3 linked regions of the Rattus norvegicus genome follow. The protein of the gene in region 3 purifies or fractionates together with the protein of the main gene of each other region. This does not show direct contact. Links are inferred from orthologs where the notes say so. Each region holds a gene or a part of one and is shown on either strand. Other genes may lie near its edges.

Region 1 (5,752 bases), on a different chromosome or scaffold from region 3:
GGGGTTAGTGACTTTATTTTTAGTGTTTCAAAACTAACAACAGTGCTCTGAGTGTAACAAATAGTATTCATTGTCAAAAATTGTCAGGTGCGCTGTTAGTAAAAATTTCTTTGACAGCTGAATTGAATGTCACAGAACTTTAATCCCAGCACCAGTGAGGCAGAAGGATCTCTGTGAGTTCCAGGCTAGCCTTTAAATTAGTTAGTAAATAACATAAAGGGATAAACCAGGTATAGTGCAGCATCTCCCTTTAATTCCAGCACCAGGAATACTGATCCAGGAGGATCTTAAATAGCAAGAGTAAGGGCTTAGGGTAGCTGCAGTTAGTAAAGGCAGACGCTAATGACAATACTGACCTCCAGTTGTCTGAGGTAAGCATAGATATCTTTCACATATTCACTACAGAGGTTTGGATCACCACCATCGTCTGCATCTACATCACTCACTGCAAGAATCACATCGGAGAAAGCCTGACACAGATATTCTTCGGCAGGTGCACATCCAGATGTTTCCATTGGGCTTGGAGAGGGAGTATCAACCTTGAAGAAAAGAGACTTCATGAAACATGCTACATCATGGGAGCGTAAAGTCATCATCCCCAATTCAGTAAGTCATTCTAAATAAATGTAATTCATTTTATTAAACGAAAGGTATTTCAGATTCTTTCCCCCAATTTCTTTTTGGGAAATGATTCATACTGGGCTGGAGTGATGGTTTTAGCTATAAAGAACATTTGCTGCTTTTGCCAAGGGCTGGTTTTCTATTAAAAAACCAGGTGACTCAACCTTAGTTCCAGGATATCTGACGACCTCTTCAGATCTCCCTGGGCCCTGCACTCATTGCAAACTGATATCTCACTCATGAAGAAAAAAACAAACCATAGAACAAAACAAAACAAAACAAAACAAACAAACAAAAAATGGCAGGCTGGAGAGATGCCTCAGAGGTTAAGAGCACTGATTGCTCTTCCAGAGGTCCTGAGTTCAATTCCCAGCAACCACATGGTGGCTCACAACCGTCTGTAACGGGATTCAATGTCCTCTTCTGGTGTGTTTGAAGACAGCTGCAGTGTACTCACATACATAAATCTTTAAAAAAAACAAACAATTCTAACAATCAGAAAACAGTTCTAACAATCAGAGCCAGGCATGGTTAATATAAGCTTTGATCCCAGCACCTGGAAGGCAGGTCTCTGAGTTGAAGCCAGCCTGGTCTCCATAGCAAACTGCAAGCCAGCAAGATCTGGTCTCATAAAAAAATAAGCCCCAATTTAGATTCAGGTAGTTTAAAGTACGAAGAAGTGGGCTGGCAAGACGGGTAAAGGTACCTGTTGCTAAGCCTAACAACTGAGTTCAACCCCCAGGAGATCCACATGGTGGAAGAACTGACTCAAAAGCTGTCTTCTAAGGGGTTGGGGATTTAGCTCAGTGGTAGAGTGCTTGCCTAGGAAGCGCAAGGCCCTGGGTTCGGTCCCCAGCTCCGAAGGGGGAAAAAAAAAAAGCTGTCTCTGACTTCTCTGTGTATTCTCACACAAAATACAAGAGAGCATGGGAGCTGGAGAACTGTCTCAGCAGTTAAAGAGCCCTTGATACTCCATGAGGACCAGAATTCAGATCCTAGCATCCACACTGGGTGGCTCACAAATGCTTGTTACTCCAGCTCCAAAGGAGTCTCTCTTCAGATACATACGATTGGGCACACACAGGACTCTATAGATACTAACATGTAAGGCAAGTCAAAGGAAACGAGCAGGTAAGTGATAATAAAGCCATTTATTCATCAGCATCATGTGAGGTCAATTCAAAAGAATGCCAAGCCTTCAATTATCAATTAATCAATTATTCAGGTGAATACAAGTTCTTGATTACAAACCCAGAGAGCCCTAGCTAGCCTTGAGCATTCAACCCTCCTGCCTTAGAGGAAGTACTAAAATCACAAACATGCACCATCACACCTAGTAGTAAAATCTGGCGGTGTGTGTGTGTGGTTTTAGTACTCAAGGACTGAACCCAGAGCATCCCTATGCTAAACACAATCTAACAGGCTACGAACTCAGGTAAACTTCCATTTGGGGCTTAAATGTTAACCCATCAACATTAATCCATCATCTTTTTTTTTTTTAAAGATTTATTTATTTATTATATATAAGTACACTGTAGCTGTCTTCAGACACACCAGAAGAGGGCATCAGATCCCATTACAGATGGTTGTGAGCCACCATGTGGTTGCTGGGATTTGAACTCAGGACCTTTGGAAGAGCAGTCAGTGCTCTTAACCTCTGAGCCATCTCTCCAGCCCTATTTTTTTTTTTTAAACGGTTTCACTAGATGCAGCTCTGTCTGGACTGGATCTTACTATATACACAGCCCGCCTTGAACTTAGAGGCCCACCTGCCTCTAGGCCAGAATGCTGGGATTGGAAGATGTGTTACCAAGGACCCTATTTAATTAATCTTATTTCTGTCTGAGATTTTTTTTTCCTTTTAAAGAAACCAATTAAAAGATCTAGCCTGAATATATCACCCCAGCATTGGAGAGGTGGGAATCTCAAACTCAAGGACAGCGGAAGCTATACAGTTACACAAAAAAGAAAATGATTATGCCACCTCTGGATCCCAGGCCTCGAGGGGCAGGCAAACCTCTATGTTCCAGGCCAGCCAGGAGCACACAGTGAGACTGTCTACATAAAACAAGAGCCCTACCATATTTATCTGCCACCATCTGAAGCAGAGTGCTAATACTTACCCTAGAGCTGTTAGTGCACGTAAAATGCACTAACCACTCAATAAACAATATATTTAAATGCCGTCGTGTGCATCAACATGAAATGAAGTCAGAGAGGAGGAATACACTTTTTAAAATGCTAAGTTTACCAAAATAGGCTCAGGAGAGTGTTTCACTTCCATAACAGGTTCAGGCTCAGGCTCATCCAGTTCCACCTCTGGTTCGCACACTGGCACCTTGTCCACAGGTTTTGGTAGGGCTTTAACAGTAACTGTTCCAGAACCTAACTTTTTTGTTTCCTGTGGATGAAAGTGAAAGAACAGAATGTTTTTCCAACGGTGACACCTAGAAGATGGGCTTTTTCAGGATAACTGGACCAGGAAGATAAGTTACCTTTTTGAGGGGTATTCTTGACTGTTCGCTGACTTTATTACCAATGTCTCCAAGAGCAGTTCTCGATCTCAGCAGGGGTTTGGAGGCAGCAACTGCCACAGGCACACGCTTGGCGCCTGCCATGCTGACCTTGGCCTTATTTTCTGTGTTAATTTTCGTGTTCTGAAAGAAGTAAGAACCACTTGAGAGAGGATCCATGGCGGCTCCAGGAAGTCATGGGTTAATTAAGGCGGGACCCCACTATGGAAAGCAAGGGCTCTAGGATCTATCCTCCAGCCCTGACAAGCAGGTTTCCACCCAAAACGTTCACCTATTATCCAATTTCCCTTTAAGTCCCAAGCAATCCTAAACACGGTGAAATTTACATCGGAAAGGTAATCATGAAAGCCTCCTTGTAGACAGCTCTCTGGGAAGACTCTGGGCAGACAGACTCTGGGAAGATTCACTCTGGGCCTTCATCATTAAAAGCACACCACCCTACTCCCTCTAAGTCCTTCAGCCCAGATATGTCCCGAAGTCTTTTTTCACCCTCCAGGGAGGGTCCTTAGCTCCTCCATTGGCCGGAACCTTCCGGGCATCCCCTTCCCCTCCTGGCCGCCGCGGCCTTCTCCCACAGCGAGGACCGCAGCGCCCGGCCCGACTCACCCTAGTGACCCTGAGCGCCATGGCTCCTCCTGAAGCAGAGGTTCGCCGATCTGAGAAGACACCCTAACCTCTGGCTGCCCACACCTAAACACTAACAGCCGTTCCCCCACAGCACGCCGGGAGGAGTCTGCCGGGCCTGGGTTTAAACCCCGGGCCGCTCCCTCCTCATTGGTCAGTTCATGGCACTCGCTCTCTTCCCATTGGTGCTGCGGGTTCCCGTAGAATGCGTTTCCTGGGCGATCCCGCGATCCCAAGTTCGGCGAGGGGTGGGGCCAGAGCGAGGCTGTAGCTGGCAGCACCGCCCACCCCTCGTGAGGTCAAGCTCTGCGCCTGCGCACTCGCCTCTTTGCTGCCACCTGCTTTAGGTAGGCTTGGCCGGCAATGCCCACTTGTGTGCTGTCCAAGGCAACTCCGTTGGACCTTAGGAAAATGACTGTGGGGCCGCCACGTTTCTGGAGCACGCATAACAGTTTTGCTGTCCTATTTATTGTTTCTCTTTTTAAAAATAGATTTATTTATTTAGTATATATAAGTACACTGTAGCTGTCTTCAGACACACCAGAAGAGGGCATCTGATCCCATTACAGACGGTTATGAATGAGCCACCATGTGGTTGCTGGGATTTGAACAGGATCTCTGGAAGAGCAGTCAGTGCTCTTAACCGCTGAGCCATCTCTCCAGCCCCTACTTACTGTTTCTCATCCTCATCTACAGAAGTGCCAGTACTATCTTAAGAGTTCGCGAAAGCTTTGAAGCAGAGACAGTCTTTAGTATGATTGTTCCGACCGCTGCCTGGGATGGATTTTGAGGTTTATAGCATGAAGTTATAGCCTAAGCAAATAGATTAACATACCAATCGCCCCAATAGCTACTGCCCCAGGGACAAAAGAAAATGTGCCACATGCTTAATTTCGCTCCTGTTTAAGATTACTTCAAAAATACAGTTTTGTAGAATCTATTCTATTTAACAAGAATCCATAATGCAGCACTCCATCCTTCTACCTCAGACACCTTATTAAGGCTAAATAACTTCAGTGAAATCTTTTTCCACATTAAATTTCAGTAACATCAATGAGGATTTATTTATTTGTTGACCAGGATCTCTTGTAGCACAGGTTGTTGGCATTCCTTCTATGCTCTGCCCAACAGTTACCTAGCAACAGCCAGATAGGCCAGTTTGCTATAAAAAAAGAACTGCTTCTCTCCTCCTCTCCTTTCCCTTCCCCTCCCTTCCCCCTTCTCTCTGTCCTCTGTCCCCTCTCTTTCTCTGTCTCTATTCCTTTCTCAACTCCCTTTCCCATGCCCCCAAATAAACTATTCTGTACTAAACCCATCATGGCTGGTATCTGGTGTGAAGGGTATATGCTTCAGCATCGGTCCACTGAGGTATTCCCTCCCACCACACCATACTGTGCTCTGTAAAACATATCCTTGGTTTTATAAAATACATCACAGGTCGAAGTCCCTATGTAGCTGAGAATGACCTTAAATCTCCTGTTCTCCCTCCTCTACCTCCTCAGTGTTGAGAGTACAGCATACAACTTTACACTGGATTTATGTCACACTCATGATTGAAGCGAGGATTTCAAGCATGGCGGACAAACACTACCAATGGAGAGGTATCCCTAGCCCTCTAGTAATCATTGCTATGCAAATTAATATATTTAGTAAGCAAATACTATATCCCAGGATTGCCTCCTTATCCCCCAACGTGTGTGTGTGTGTGTGTGTGTGTGTGTGAACCTGGTTTGTTTTATTTAAGACAAGCACTTCTCACACTTGCTTGAAGCACTGTGCTCCAGGTTTCCCAGCGTTTGTGAGCTTGTCACCTATGCTGGGGTGGGCCTAGGTGACGCAGTTGTCTTCGAGTCATTTCTGCTTCCGCGAGAAACTATAATAAAACTCTTTGGTTCACCAAGTTGGACTTTGGTGGTATCCATACTTTGGTCTGTCTTGAGCTCCCTATCTGGGGTGAGTGGATGTGTGTTTAG
Region 2 (5,777 bases), on a different chromosome or scaffold from region 3:
AAATTCAAGGTTAGCCTGGTCTATATAGTAAGTTCCAAGCTAGCCAAAGGCTACACGGTGAGACTCTATTTCACAAAAGCAAAATGCAAGTTATCGTTCATTCATCTAACCTGGCTTGGGCAGCAGAAAATTGGGGTCCAAAGTGCCCCCTTAAGATTTTACACTTTTGGGGCTGGGGATTTAGCTCAGTGGTAGAGCGCTTACCTAGGAAGCGCAAGGCCCTGGGTTCGGTCCCCAGCTCCGAAAAAAAGAACCAAAAAAAAAAAAAAAAAGATTTTATACTTTTGCTCTTACTCCCTCTTACCTTCCTTTCCCCCTCTTGCTCTTTGTTCTCCTCTGTTCTTGCCCCCATTCTCCCCTCCACGTACTCATGGCCAGCCACCTTTCTTCTCTTTTTCTACTCTTCTCTCATTAAACCTCTCCATGTGGGGGGAAAAAAAAGATTTTACACTTCTGACAGGCAGTGGTGGCTCAGGCCTTTAATCCCAGCACTTGGAAGTCAGAGGCAGGTGAATCTCTGAGTTTGAATTCAAGGCCAGCCTGGTCTACAGATCGAGTTCCAAGACAGCCAGGGCTACACAGGGAAACCCTGTCTTGAAAAACCAAACCAAACAAAACCAGACAAGACTTGACAGTCTCAAGTGGGTATAGTGGCATACACCTTTGACCCCAGCACTTGGGAGAACAAAAAGGAAGCAGATTTCTGAGTCCGAGGTCATCCTGGTCTACAGAGTGACCAGGGCATCCAGGAGTACACAGAAAAACCTTGTCTGGAAAAACCAAAACCAGAAACAAAAACAAGACTTTTTATTCTTGGTAGCTCTGGGGGACTAGACTAAGCTGTTGTTTGGCCTTAAATGGACAGTAATCCCATCAGATCTAGATTTGAGGACAACCATTCTGTTCGGAGCCTGCATCAGAGGGCAGCGGTTATAGGAATCCTGAGAGATGGATAGGTCAGTGGTGACATAGGAGGGGGGGCATAGTGGCAGGTGGGGAAAAGCAGTCTGGGTTTAGACCTGGCTGTCTAGGGATGCCATCCACTGACACCCCTCCCCCCCAGATTTGTTTACACCTGAAGTAGTCAAGAAGTCAAGGGAGTGGGGGTGCTTATTTTGTTGGACATGAGTTGATAGGAGAATTAGTTTCTAAGTGTCCAAGACTGAAGTGGGAAGACTGGGTTGAAAGTGTCCTTGGAAAGCAAAGAGGTGCTCTAGCTTGAGACCAGGTCTCACTGTTTAGCCCTGGCTGGCTTTGGCTTTACAGAAATGCACCTGCTTTTGCCTCCCATGTGCTGGGCAGACAGAGTAGGAAGGAGTTGGCTAAGGAAGAAGGCACACAGGAGGGATCAGCGGGTAAAATGCTTGCCACCAAGCCTGAGGACCTTGAATTCTATCCCTAGAGACCTATGTGGTAAAAAGAAAGAACTGACTGTCAAATTGCCTGTCTTCGAACCTCCGTCTGGGCATACACAATAAACAAACAAACATATAAACAATAGGTTCGGCCCTCATCAGAGTATGGTTTGATGGACTATGCCTTTAATCCATTTCAGCCTTTGGGAGCAAGCAGATCTCTTGGGCAGCCTGCTCTACATAGTGAGTTACAGACTAGCCGAGGCTACACGGGTAAACCTCTCTAAAACAAGAACAACAACAAATGTTCGTGGTCAGGAGGGTGGCCCAAGATCTGAGTCTGGGGTCCTGTTGGGAGTTTGAAGTCCAGGATTGTCATCCAAGGTCTGCGGTCAGGTCAGGTCAGATGATGATCTTGAGAGAATGTTCAGAAATTTGAGTATGGGGTCTTGATCGGTGTCAGGATTCTTGTTATGATCCACGGTCTTGGGTAAAGGCCCGAGTAGGAGCGTGGAGTTTAGCATCCGGAGATGCGATCAAGTTAGTGGCCATGGCTTGGGGTCTTGGGTCGATCTGGTGCAAGACTCAGGTAACAACAGTCCAGGACTGAGACTCGTGTCCCGGACACGAGCGGTGCGGCCTCTAGGGGGTGCTGCGGTCCGCCCGCCCGCCCGCCGCCCGCCCGGCTCGGCCCCTCGGCGGCTCGCTGGCGCTGTGCGCGGCAGGCGGGGCCGGAGGCGGCGGCGGCAGCTCCGGGGCGCGGGCGGGCGGGTGGTGGTGGCGGCGGCGGCGGCGGCGGCGCCCCGACTGCAGTCCCGGCGGGAGCGGAGCGCGAGCCGGGCCGGGCCCGAGCCGGCGCCATGGGGCGGCGCCGCCTGTGAGCGGGCGACGAGCGAGGACCGGGCGGGGCGGCGGCGGCGCCGAGGCCGACAAGCCGCGCGGGCCGGGCCGGGCCGAGCGAGCGGGAGCGGAGCGGAGCCTCGGGCGGCGGGAGGAACAGCGCCGCCGCCGCCAAGATGGCCGACCTGGAGGCGGTGCTGGCCGATGTGAGCTACCTGATGGCCATGGAGAAGAGCAAGGCCACGCCGGCCGCGCGCGCCAGCAAGAAGATCCTGCTGCCAGAGCCCAGGTGAGCCCGCCTGTGCCGGGCCCCACGCGCCGCCCCGGGATACAGTGCCCCAGGGACCCCTCTCTCCGTCCTAGGTTCCGGGGACCCTCTGCCCCAGGACCCCACTATCCCGGCTGCCCCATGACCCAAGAACCCCTTCTACTCCGGGGACCTTCTGCCCCGGAGACCCCATTATCCTGGCCGCCCCAGGACTCAGAGACTTCCTCTGCCCCTGCCGCCGCAAGCTTGGTGTCTGTGAGCACAGAGCGCCCCAAGTCCAAGCTCCTAGCCGCGTTCCCCGGGCCGCCTTGCCGCTTCCTGTATCTCACTGCCGGGCCTGGTCGCTGTCAGCCCCAAGCTCTGCTGCAGCCTTCATTCCACCCTGATGCTTGGCTCTGCCCTCTACCCTCTGTGTCCTCTTGTGGTTCCCTTCCTCAAGTCTGCCTCTGTTTACCCGATTGTATCACACAGTCTGTTGCTCCTGCTCCCAGCACCCACTCACCCCCGTTGGTGTTCACTACCCTTATCCACTCCCCTTGGAGTGGGTAACACTCTTGTGAGGTTTGTGGAGTGAGGAGGACCACTCTGGAGACTTTTTTTTTCTTTTGCTTTCGCCTACGGTGGGGTCACTATGAGATTGGGTTTGGGAGTGTTTTCTGGGGACAGTGCAGTGTACCGTCCTTGAGGGCTGCGCTCGGGTGAGGGAAGTCCCTTCTTTACCCTTTTCCCCACATGTGGTTCCTTGTGGGTACTTTTGACCAGGGGACCTCCCATCCTACAGCAACTGGACGTGCTGCCACCTCTCTGCAAGACAACTGATGTCATCGCACCTGGTATCAAAGTTTAAACTGTCCAGGATGTGGGTGCAGAGTAGGGCAGGATGTGAGAGGTGTAGCTGGGGCTTGTCCAGTATACTATGGCAAATAGACTTATCTTCCCATGTGAACTGCTCAGGAGATCAGAGAGTGAGTGAGGCAGGTGTAGTTTTGTTCCCATAGAACAAGGTATGTGTGAGAGAGCTCAGACTTGGATGGCTTGTATAGTGTCACCTGGGTTATCCACAGTGGCACCTGGCCTCCACATCAGGGCTCTCAGCTTCTGGTTTTATGTTTCATCCTGACCTGAAGGGCCTGGATGTCCTGCATCTGGAAGAGATGTGTCCACCCACCAGGATGCCACATGGTGGGTGGTGAGGCCAGTCCCTCCAGTTTCTTATACCAACCCCTTTAGCAGCCAAGAACTGGCCCTGATTTTACTGCCATTCTATGTCATAGGACATGGGGCGAGTTTCCCCCCCACCCCCAGTGGGCAGTGTGAAATAGGCCTCTAGTGGCCTCAGTCCTTAGAGTGGGGTGGGCAGCTTGCAGGCTTGCTGCTGTGCCTCTCACTGGGCCCCTCCTCCAGTGGCTGCACACTGGGTTTCAGTTTGACTGAGAACGGTGCCCAGTAGAGGAAAAATTGGTCTGTGTTTTGAAGAGGCCGTTGGGCCCCCCTTTTTTCTAAGACATTTGCAATCAGATTTCTCAAAACAGGAACTAGACTGAGTGTCAGCTGGGGCTGTCTAGGGGCAGCAGCAGTTAGGATGGAAATGAGTTCAGAAATGACAAAACTTAGAGGGAAGAGTGGGGGAGGTGCAGTCAGCATCTAGGGTACTTGTTGAGCTCTCCTGGGTAGCCACAGCTGTGGGATTCTAATGCAGGTGGGAGGTCTGCAAAGTTTGAGGTGGTGCCTTTTCTAGAACTCTCCATGTCTGGATAGTCTTTCCCCAGAACGAATTGCTCTTAATGGATGCCCACCTCAGGTCGTCTCCCCTGCTGGTGTTCAAGAACCCTGACAGATGATGATCTGTACCTCTCTCTCTTTTTACCTTTTCATATGGCGGCAGCTATGATGTGATGCGATCAAACAAGAATGGAAAGTTTAATAATTCATTATTTATTTTGACATCTGTCATCTCAGTTGATCCAAAAACCAACATGTGAAATTGGCAAGGCCAACAGTTACCAGGATGGGGTGATTTCTGTGAGCAAAACTGAAGCTGGCTTGCAAGTTCTAGGGAACGACACCACAGGTGCAGGGTCACCATCAGTCGTACATTGTTGGGCCAACCGCTCAATCTGTGAATGGTTAGGAGCCTCTAATTCTGGTCACTGGTGTGCTCAGAAGAGTCGCCTTGCAGTAGCCATGGCCCTAGGCATGCATGCTCCCCCACCCCGCCCCCGCTCCCGTCCCCCCACCCCACCCCCGCCAGTGATGGAAAGAAAGCAGGTCCCCTTCATGGTGTACTTTGCGCACTCTCAAGGCAGAGATCTCTTGCCCTTGAAGGTGGTTACCATCATGTCTCAGGTGTGCCCAATATGTCCCAATGTGTGGAGTGTCTTGTCTTCACAACTCTGGGACTCTGGCTGGCCCAGCAGACTGCATTTCTCTCATTTACAACCGAGAGGCTTTGAGGCTTGTCACATAGAAGCTCTGGGATTGGATCACAGATCTCTGGAGTCCTGACCACAGTACTCTTCCTACCTGTGCTTTGTCTCTTCCTCCCAGTCCCGTAGAACTGCTTTGTGACCAGAATCTGAAGCCACTTGTCGTGGGAGCTTGTGGGTCTTGGGTAGTGGCCTGAAAGTAGCAGGGCAGTTTCTGGTATCATCAGTGGTTACAGTATACAGGACCCAAGCCCTTCGCCAGTTGCTGAAACAGAAACAGGCTGCCCTGGCAGAGCTAATGCACAGATAGAAGGACAATCCCATGCCAGGGCCTCCATTAGATACAGGTCCTGCTTCCCCACCCTGAAGCTAGAGCCAGGTAAAGAAGCAATGGGGTTCGTTCCTGTGCCCGTATGCCAATGGGAGTTGTTCCACTTTGGGGTAGGCCATCTTGGCAGCCTCTCTGTGGCTGGTGCCCAGGGTTGTGGCTTGGCTGAGCTTGGCTGGCATCGCAGCTCTTATTTCCCAGGGTTGGGGACTGGGAACTGTTGGGCATAGTGCCACTGTAACTTGGCAGAAAGATATCCCCTTCCTTCTGTCACCTAGAGGATCTGGGGAAGCAGACTCATTCCCAACCTTCTCTCAGGTGGGGGTTCTGTATGGATAGAACACAGGGGTCCTGGCTTCTCACTCCTGCAACACTGGCTCACACTGGATCCAGGCACACTTGTCCTGACTGGACGTGCCTCAGTTTATCTGCCACCAATGACCTCCCAGGGCTGTGGGGCTGAGGTGTGGTCCTCGCCATACAGATGCTGTTGCCTCTTTTCCAGCAGCTGCTGCAGTCCTGTAATTAGCATCATTTGCTTAATATGACCACTAAGGCCC
Region 3 (5,977 bases):
GAGATAACTGAGAAACTAACAAAGAACCAAGGAAAAAGGAAAGCCTAAAATCACAAAGAGAGTAAAAGCTTCAATGGTGGTGGATGTGTGTGTGTGTGTGGGGGGGGGGGGGGATGAAAAACCTATTTTCAATTTACAAGTCCTTTTATAAAGCTGGTCCCCAACCCCTCCCCCCAAATCGAGACACTTGGATAAAACACACACACACACACACACACCCCACACAAGGGAAGCTTCCATGGCCCCTCCCATCAAACTTGCGCTCTTTTAAAACACACACACACACACACACACACACACACACACACACACACACACCTCTCTTTCTTGCAAGCCTGACAAACGCAACCTCCCCCAAGAATAATTCCATTTAAAAAGCCCCCCACTCGCGAGAAAACATTAATCTACTTTGCAAACATGCGTTCCAGTTTGTGCTTTACTATTTTTCTCAACTACCCCCCCCCCCGCCTTTTGTACCTTGAGACAAATGTTTTTTTCCCCCAGAGTTGAAAGCGGTCCAAAAACAGGACCACACACGCGGCCGCCTCTGCAGGCCCGCGCGGCGCCCGCCCCCTGCGCGCCCCGGGGGCGCGCACACTCCCTGCAGCCAGAGGGGTGGCCTTGCCCTCCACCCCCCTCTCCTTTCTCCGCAGACGCAGTGGGTGGGTGGGGGGTGGGGGGGAAGAAGCTGAGCCCAGGCGCCCGGATCAGAGAGGCCTTTCCCGGGCCGCGGCTCCCGGGCCAAAGCCAGGCAGGCGGCTGTGGCGGGTCTAGGGGACCACCCCCACGGCCCTGCGGAGTGGTCCATCCCGCGCAGGGCCCCTGCGCCCCCGCCACTCTCTCCCACCACACCTAGCAAAGCAAAGCGCCCCGAGTAGATTACAGCGCGGCCTTTGTCGGGCGGGCCTGGCTGCTGGCCAGCCATGCAAACAATAAACAGTCGCCCCTGGTGCGGGCAAGGACTTCGTTGGCTACAGGGAGGCTCTAGGTGGATGCTGGCAAATATCTTCATCAAACGCAGTAAAGGGAAGGAAGACGAAGGACGCACTAGCGGCGCCGGGTCGCTTACCTTCCACCCACAGCTCCTCCACGTTGGTCTCGAGATTAGCTGCCTTTAATCCCACAGCGAAGGCCCCAAATATGAGGAGACCCACAACCAAAAACTTGCCGCAGTTCTTTTGAATGTAACAACCCAGTTTAAATAAGAGTCTTTGAAACTTCGCTCTCAGCCACAGCGGCGCTTTCCGGCCAGTAGCCTTCCCCTGGGGACGAAGCAGAAGGGAGGAGTGAACGCCGGGGAATCGCTGTCTCCGCACACCCGCTAGGGGATCCCCTCTGGATAGTAGTGGGGGGCGTGGGCGCCCGTGGTGCAGTGACTCGCCCACGGGACTGGAACCAGGACAGTCCAGAGGGATCCCTGGAGGCGTGGGGGCCTTGGTTGTAAATCTGTGAGACTGCAGCGTGGGAACTGCACTCTAGGGACCAGGGGGCGCCCCCACGCATGGCCTGAGCACTAACCCTGAATGAGACTTAGGACGCTGGGGAGAAAGGCTAACAGAGAAGCCGTCAACAGCAGCCAGGGTTTAGTACCGGGGACTTGGGAGAGGGAGGGCCTGAGTGATCCTAGCGGAGAAGCCCAACACCAAAGAACCCCCAGAACACGTCCCCCCTTCCCCTGCTCCAGCCTGTGGCTTCCTCCGGTGCCCCGGAGGCCGGGTAAAGGGCGCAAGCGCACTTAGGGACAATATACAGCGACCGTGGCCCATCTGGTCCCGGCCTGGTGTGGCTGTAAGCGAGGTCCACGTGGTAAGCCCCGCAGCCAGAGCTCGCTCTACACACTTTTCCACAGCCTTGGGAGACACCGCGGGAGCTCAGTTAGGAAGTGCGGCAGCCATCTGCAACTTACACTATTTGTGCTCGGAAGTGGGCGGCCACAAGGATCTTTCCCTCCTCTCCCACTCCCTCCTGGTGAACTCTTTAAAAATGCCGAGTGCACAGGGAAGAGGCCCAGGCCGGCGCCGACCGGGGTTCTGGCTGGGCGCAGGCTGTTCTCGGGGCGGCGGAGCCCCGGTGCTGGCCAGGGCCCCTGCGGGCCCCAGGCTAGGTGCTTGCCTTCCCCGGATTCCACACATTTCAGCCAGCCTCGTAAACACAATGAACCCGGCGGTTCAGCACACCCGTACCGAAGATTTAAGGTGGCAACTTGTTTACAACTGCCCCTCTCCCCGGCAGGCTGGGAGAAGAGGCGGCCCAAGACCTAGAAGAGAAGGGACGTCCTCTCCCGAGAATAATTTTTAAGGGAGCAAAGATTTCAAGCTCAACGAAAGCAGAACCGGCTGCCAAAAAAGGAAACCACCTTTACTTTGGCTCCCTCCCCTCTGTCTCTCTCCGCCTCTCTCCACTCCGCCTCCCCCTCAAAGAGGTTAAGAAATGTGGCAACGCCGAACTTTAGGTTGCAACCGTGGGCAGGGGCGCGGGAGAAGGGCGCTGGGGCCCGGGGCAGTGCCGCACTGCGGCCGCCCTGGAGGTGGTCCACTCCGGACGGTTTCCAAAGCTCCGGAAAAGGCACACCAGGGAGGGCGTGTGCGCGCGCACACACCACACACACATACACACTCACACACACGCACCCCTCCACCCCCTGCGGACCTCAGACAGCCCTTTCCTCCGGAGTCCGGAGGGAGAGTTTGAAATTTTCAACCTTCACTTTGCTGCTTTCTCAGGAGAGTGTGTGTGTGTCTGTGTGGAAGGGATTCCAAGGAGGAAGAAGAGGGGAAAGTGAAGAGGGAGGAGGGGACAGAAGTGCACCTTGGAAATCTGCTCCAGAGCGAAGGCGGCGTCGCAGTAGCTGGGCCGGTGCAGATAGTCCCGGTCCGGCGCGGCGCGGTGCGGTCCCCCGGTCCGTCTGCGCCTCCCGCCGCCGGCCTGCCTGCCCAGGGCCCCGGCGGCGTTACCAGCCGAGGCCATGTTGCCGCCGCCGCCGCGGGCTCCGGGCGCGCCTGGGCGCTCGGCTCGCGAGGACGCTGCTGGCGGCCGGGGACTCCGGCTCCGGGTGACAGACCCGCTGCTGCCGCTCACACGGCGGGCGCTGCGGGTGCTGCGGCCGTGGCCGCTGCCGGGGACTCAGACCCTGAGCCTTCCATTGCCACATTGCGCGTGAGTCCCGAGGTCTTTGCGGCCGCCGCTGCCCACATCCAGCTCGCGGGAAGGCGAGAGCCGGCACTTCCAGGGCGCGCCTCGCGGTCCCCAAGTCCCCCCCAGACGTCCCCGCCCCGCGCCGCGACCCCTTCACGGCAGAAGGCGCGCGCAGACCCCCGCCGCTTGCGCCGGCTCCCTCGGCGCCCGCTGCGGGCGACGCGACGGTGCCCGGCGGGTCTCAGCGATGCCGGGCCGGGGCTGCCGCCGCTGCTGCTGCTGGTGCGGCTGCGGCTGGAGTTGGCGGTGGCGGCTTCTGAAGCGGCTGCTCGCTCTCGGGCTGCTGGGTTCGCGGTGGCTGCTCGGTCCCGGACTCTGCTTTCTTGTTCTCCTCACCGACCCGCTGGACCATTCTGCCCCCGCGCCGCGCGCCTCTCTCGCTACCGGGACCTGAGGACTCCGCTCTGTGTGTGTGCAGCGGGCAGCGGCCGCAGCAGCTCCTTGACTCAATAGATGAGATGGAAGAAGAAAAAAAAGAACTCTCTCCATTTGGAGAAAGAGGAGGAGGAGGGGAGGGGGTGGAGGGGGAGAGAGCGAGCGAAAGAGAAAAAGGCTGGAACTCCCGCCCCCGGGGCTGTCAGATGGCTTGGGTTTCTGCGACGCGATTGGCTCTTGGAGGGCAGAAATTACTCAGCAAACATGACTATTATTAGCTGCTTAGCAACAGCTCACCAAAGTAGAGAGACCACCCAGGTAGGCAACCCCCGTGTGTGCATCCCAGGCTTGGGGGTGGGGGGGCGCTCGCCCAGCGCCAACCTTCTCGCATGCAATACTTCCATTAAGGAATGCTTCCCCCTCCTTTCTTTCTTATTTCTTTTCTTTTCAACAGTGTCTTCTTTTTTTGAGACGCTTTTTGCGAGCGAGCGCGCGCACACACACACACATACACACGCACACGCTCACACAGGAGCATTTGCCTCGTAATAGACAGGGGGGATATGTAATATTTTTTTAAGCGCTTAAACAATTTCTGAGATTCCTCAAAGAAAACCCTTTTAGAGGCACTTTGGCCTCAAGCTGCAGCGAATACTGGGAGGTCCGGCTTGAATTCCCAGGCCTGCACCAATAATGACAGGGTGGTGGATAGTGCGCCAATGTGTGCCAATTTTTTTTTCTCCTCTTTTCTTTTATAACCAAAGGCAAGACTTAGACTCTTGCAGGGAACAACGCCTTGTATTAAGATAAACAAAATGGAAAGTTAAAGAGGCGAGCAAAGATGTTGGGAAAAGCCACCCCTTTTTAAAACCCCTCACACTCCCCTAGCACCCCCCCCCAAATACACAACAGCACAGTCCAATTTGAACACGTCTATAAGGAGAAGCCAGACACAGTCTGATTTTTTATTCGAATGTTGAACATATAAAAAGAAGCAAATCTTTTCAGCAGGCCAGAGAAATGTAAATGAGAGATTTCTTGATTATTTAGGGTTCATCTGGACCCCCATTAATTAATCACATTCTTAAAAGAAAGTTTTAAGCTTTTTAAAAAATAAAGCTCGATACGCATCCTGTAACATTTAATAGCGTGACGTAGGAGAGAATAAAGGCTTTGATGTGGAATTCATTTTAAACATATTGTTCATAGATCGCTAATATTTGTCCTGATATTGCGTCCAGTGTCACCAAGACATCCAGGGGATTCACTTTACTGTTGAACAAAACAACAACAAAAATGCGACGTGGGGGAGGGGAGTGAATCTTGGAGCCAGCAACACTTTAAATTGTCTACTCAACTACGCTCTTTAAGAAAAATAATAACAACTCTTAAGAAAGCACATTCCATTCTCCTGTAAGTTTGAAGTTCCTCCTTCCCGCAGTAGACACCAGACCCAGGAACACCAGATTCTGTTACGTCCTATTTTTTTTTCCAACTTGAAATGCAGAGGGAACCGGAGTAGTGAGGAGCCAAATGAACCCGTGAAATGGGGCAGTGTGGCTTTAAGATGCACACGGTGTGTGTTCATTGAAAAAAAAAAAAGAAAGAAAAGGAAAGAAAGAACCCAGATGGAGGGAAAGGGGGAGGAGCGGGGAGAAGGCGGAGCCTACTCCACCACGTGACCCGGAGCAAGAGGCCCATCCGCGCACCCGCGTGAGTGTGCGTCCGCGCGCTCCAGTCTTCGGCCTGCTCTTGATGAGGGCGCACAGGTAACAGGGTCCGCGCGCTGACCTGCACGCTCCAGCCCTCATTACAGTACGCACAACCTTCCCGGGCCCGGGGCTGTGTGCGCGCCCTACCGCCGCGGACAGACGTGCTGGGCACGCCGTAGTACATTCCTGAAGGCGGCCCGGCCCCCTCGCGTTGCCCAATGAACGCGCGGCTTCTCCGCTGCTGGCCAATGGCTGCGTTCCGGCCCTTCCATTCAGCGGCGCCGACTGCGGTTAGACAGGGGCCGCGCAGGGGCGCGCGGCCACCAGCGGAGCACCCGGCTCCTAGGGCCCGGGGTGGGGGTGGGGGTGGGAGTTGAGGTCTCCCCCACCCCCATCATGTTGCAGTCCTTCATCGCTGCCCAGTCAGCCTCCCCTCTAGCCTTGTCTCCTTCCGGGCTTCCCTAGGACGCCTTGCCATCCTGAATCTCAAACCTGCGGAATCCGTTCGGTTTCTGAGGTGGGGTGATGAATCTGAGGGAATAGAGACCAAGTAGATGCATTTGGGGATGCTCACAGGATAAGGGAGAGGACCTGGGTGCCTGGCCAGTACGGAAATTAGAAAAGTCCTAACACCTGGAAGCACGTGATTTTCCAATGACTGAATTTCAGAAGAACTGAGAAATTCTGCAAAGGCG

What was found.
Region 1: the proteins of Ptch1 (region 3) and Ccnb1 purify together in Homo sapiens (affinity purification with western blotting; 3 studies listed by BioGRID and IntAct, with this or other methods). This does not show direct contact. The link is inferred for Rattus norvegicus from reciprocal best matches to the Homo sapiens genes PTCH1 and CCNB1.
Region 2: the proteins of Ptch1 (region 3) and Grk2 purify together in Homo sapiens (affinity purification with western blotting; 3 studies listed by BioGRID and IntAct, with this or other methods). This does not show direct contact. The link is inferred for Rattus norvegicus from reciprocal best matches to the Homo sapiens genes PTCH1 and GRK2.

Annotation. Positions count from the first base shown.
Region 1 is NC_086020.1:33,651,343-33,657,094, forward strand, and holds the start of Ccnb1 (G2/mitotic-specific cyclin-B1), read right to left. Parts: upstream 3,884-5,752; 5' UTR 3,783-3,883; coding exon 3,762-3,782; intron 3,279-3,761; coding exon 3,117-3,278; intron 3,023-3,116; coding exon 2,873-3,022; intron 540-2,872; coding exon 357-539; intron 1-356. UniProt on the Homo sapiens protein: Essential for the control of the cell cycle at the G2/M (mitosis) transition.
Region 2 is NC_086019.1:211,027,473-211,033,249, reverse strand, and holds the start of Grk2 (beta-adrenergic receptor kinase 1), read left to right. Parts: upstream 1-2,236; 5' UTR 2,237-2,371; coding exon 2,372-2,484; intron 2,485-5,777. UniProt on the Homo sapiens protein: Specifically phosphorylates the agonist-occupied form of the beta-adrenergic and closely related receptors, probably inducing a desensitization of them. Key regulator of LPAR1 signaling.
Region 3 is NC_086035.1:1,553,309-1,559,285, reverse strand, and holds the start of Ptch1 (protein patched homolog 1), read right to left. Parts: upstream 3,716-5,977; 5' UTR 2,968-3,715; coding exon 2,809-2,967; intron 2,740-2,808; exon of another isoform or gene 1,907-2,739; intron 1,263-1,906; coding exon 1,070-1,262; intron 1,034-1,069; exon of another isoform or gene 1,013-1,033; coding exon of another isoform or gene 478-1,012; intron 1-477.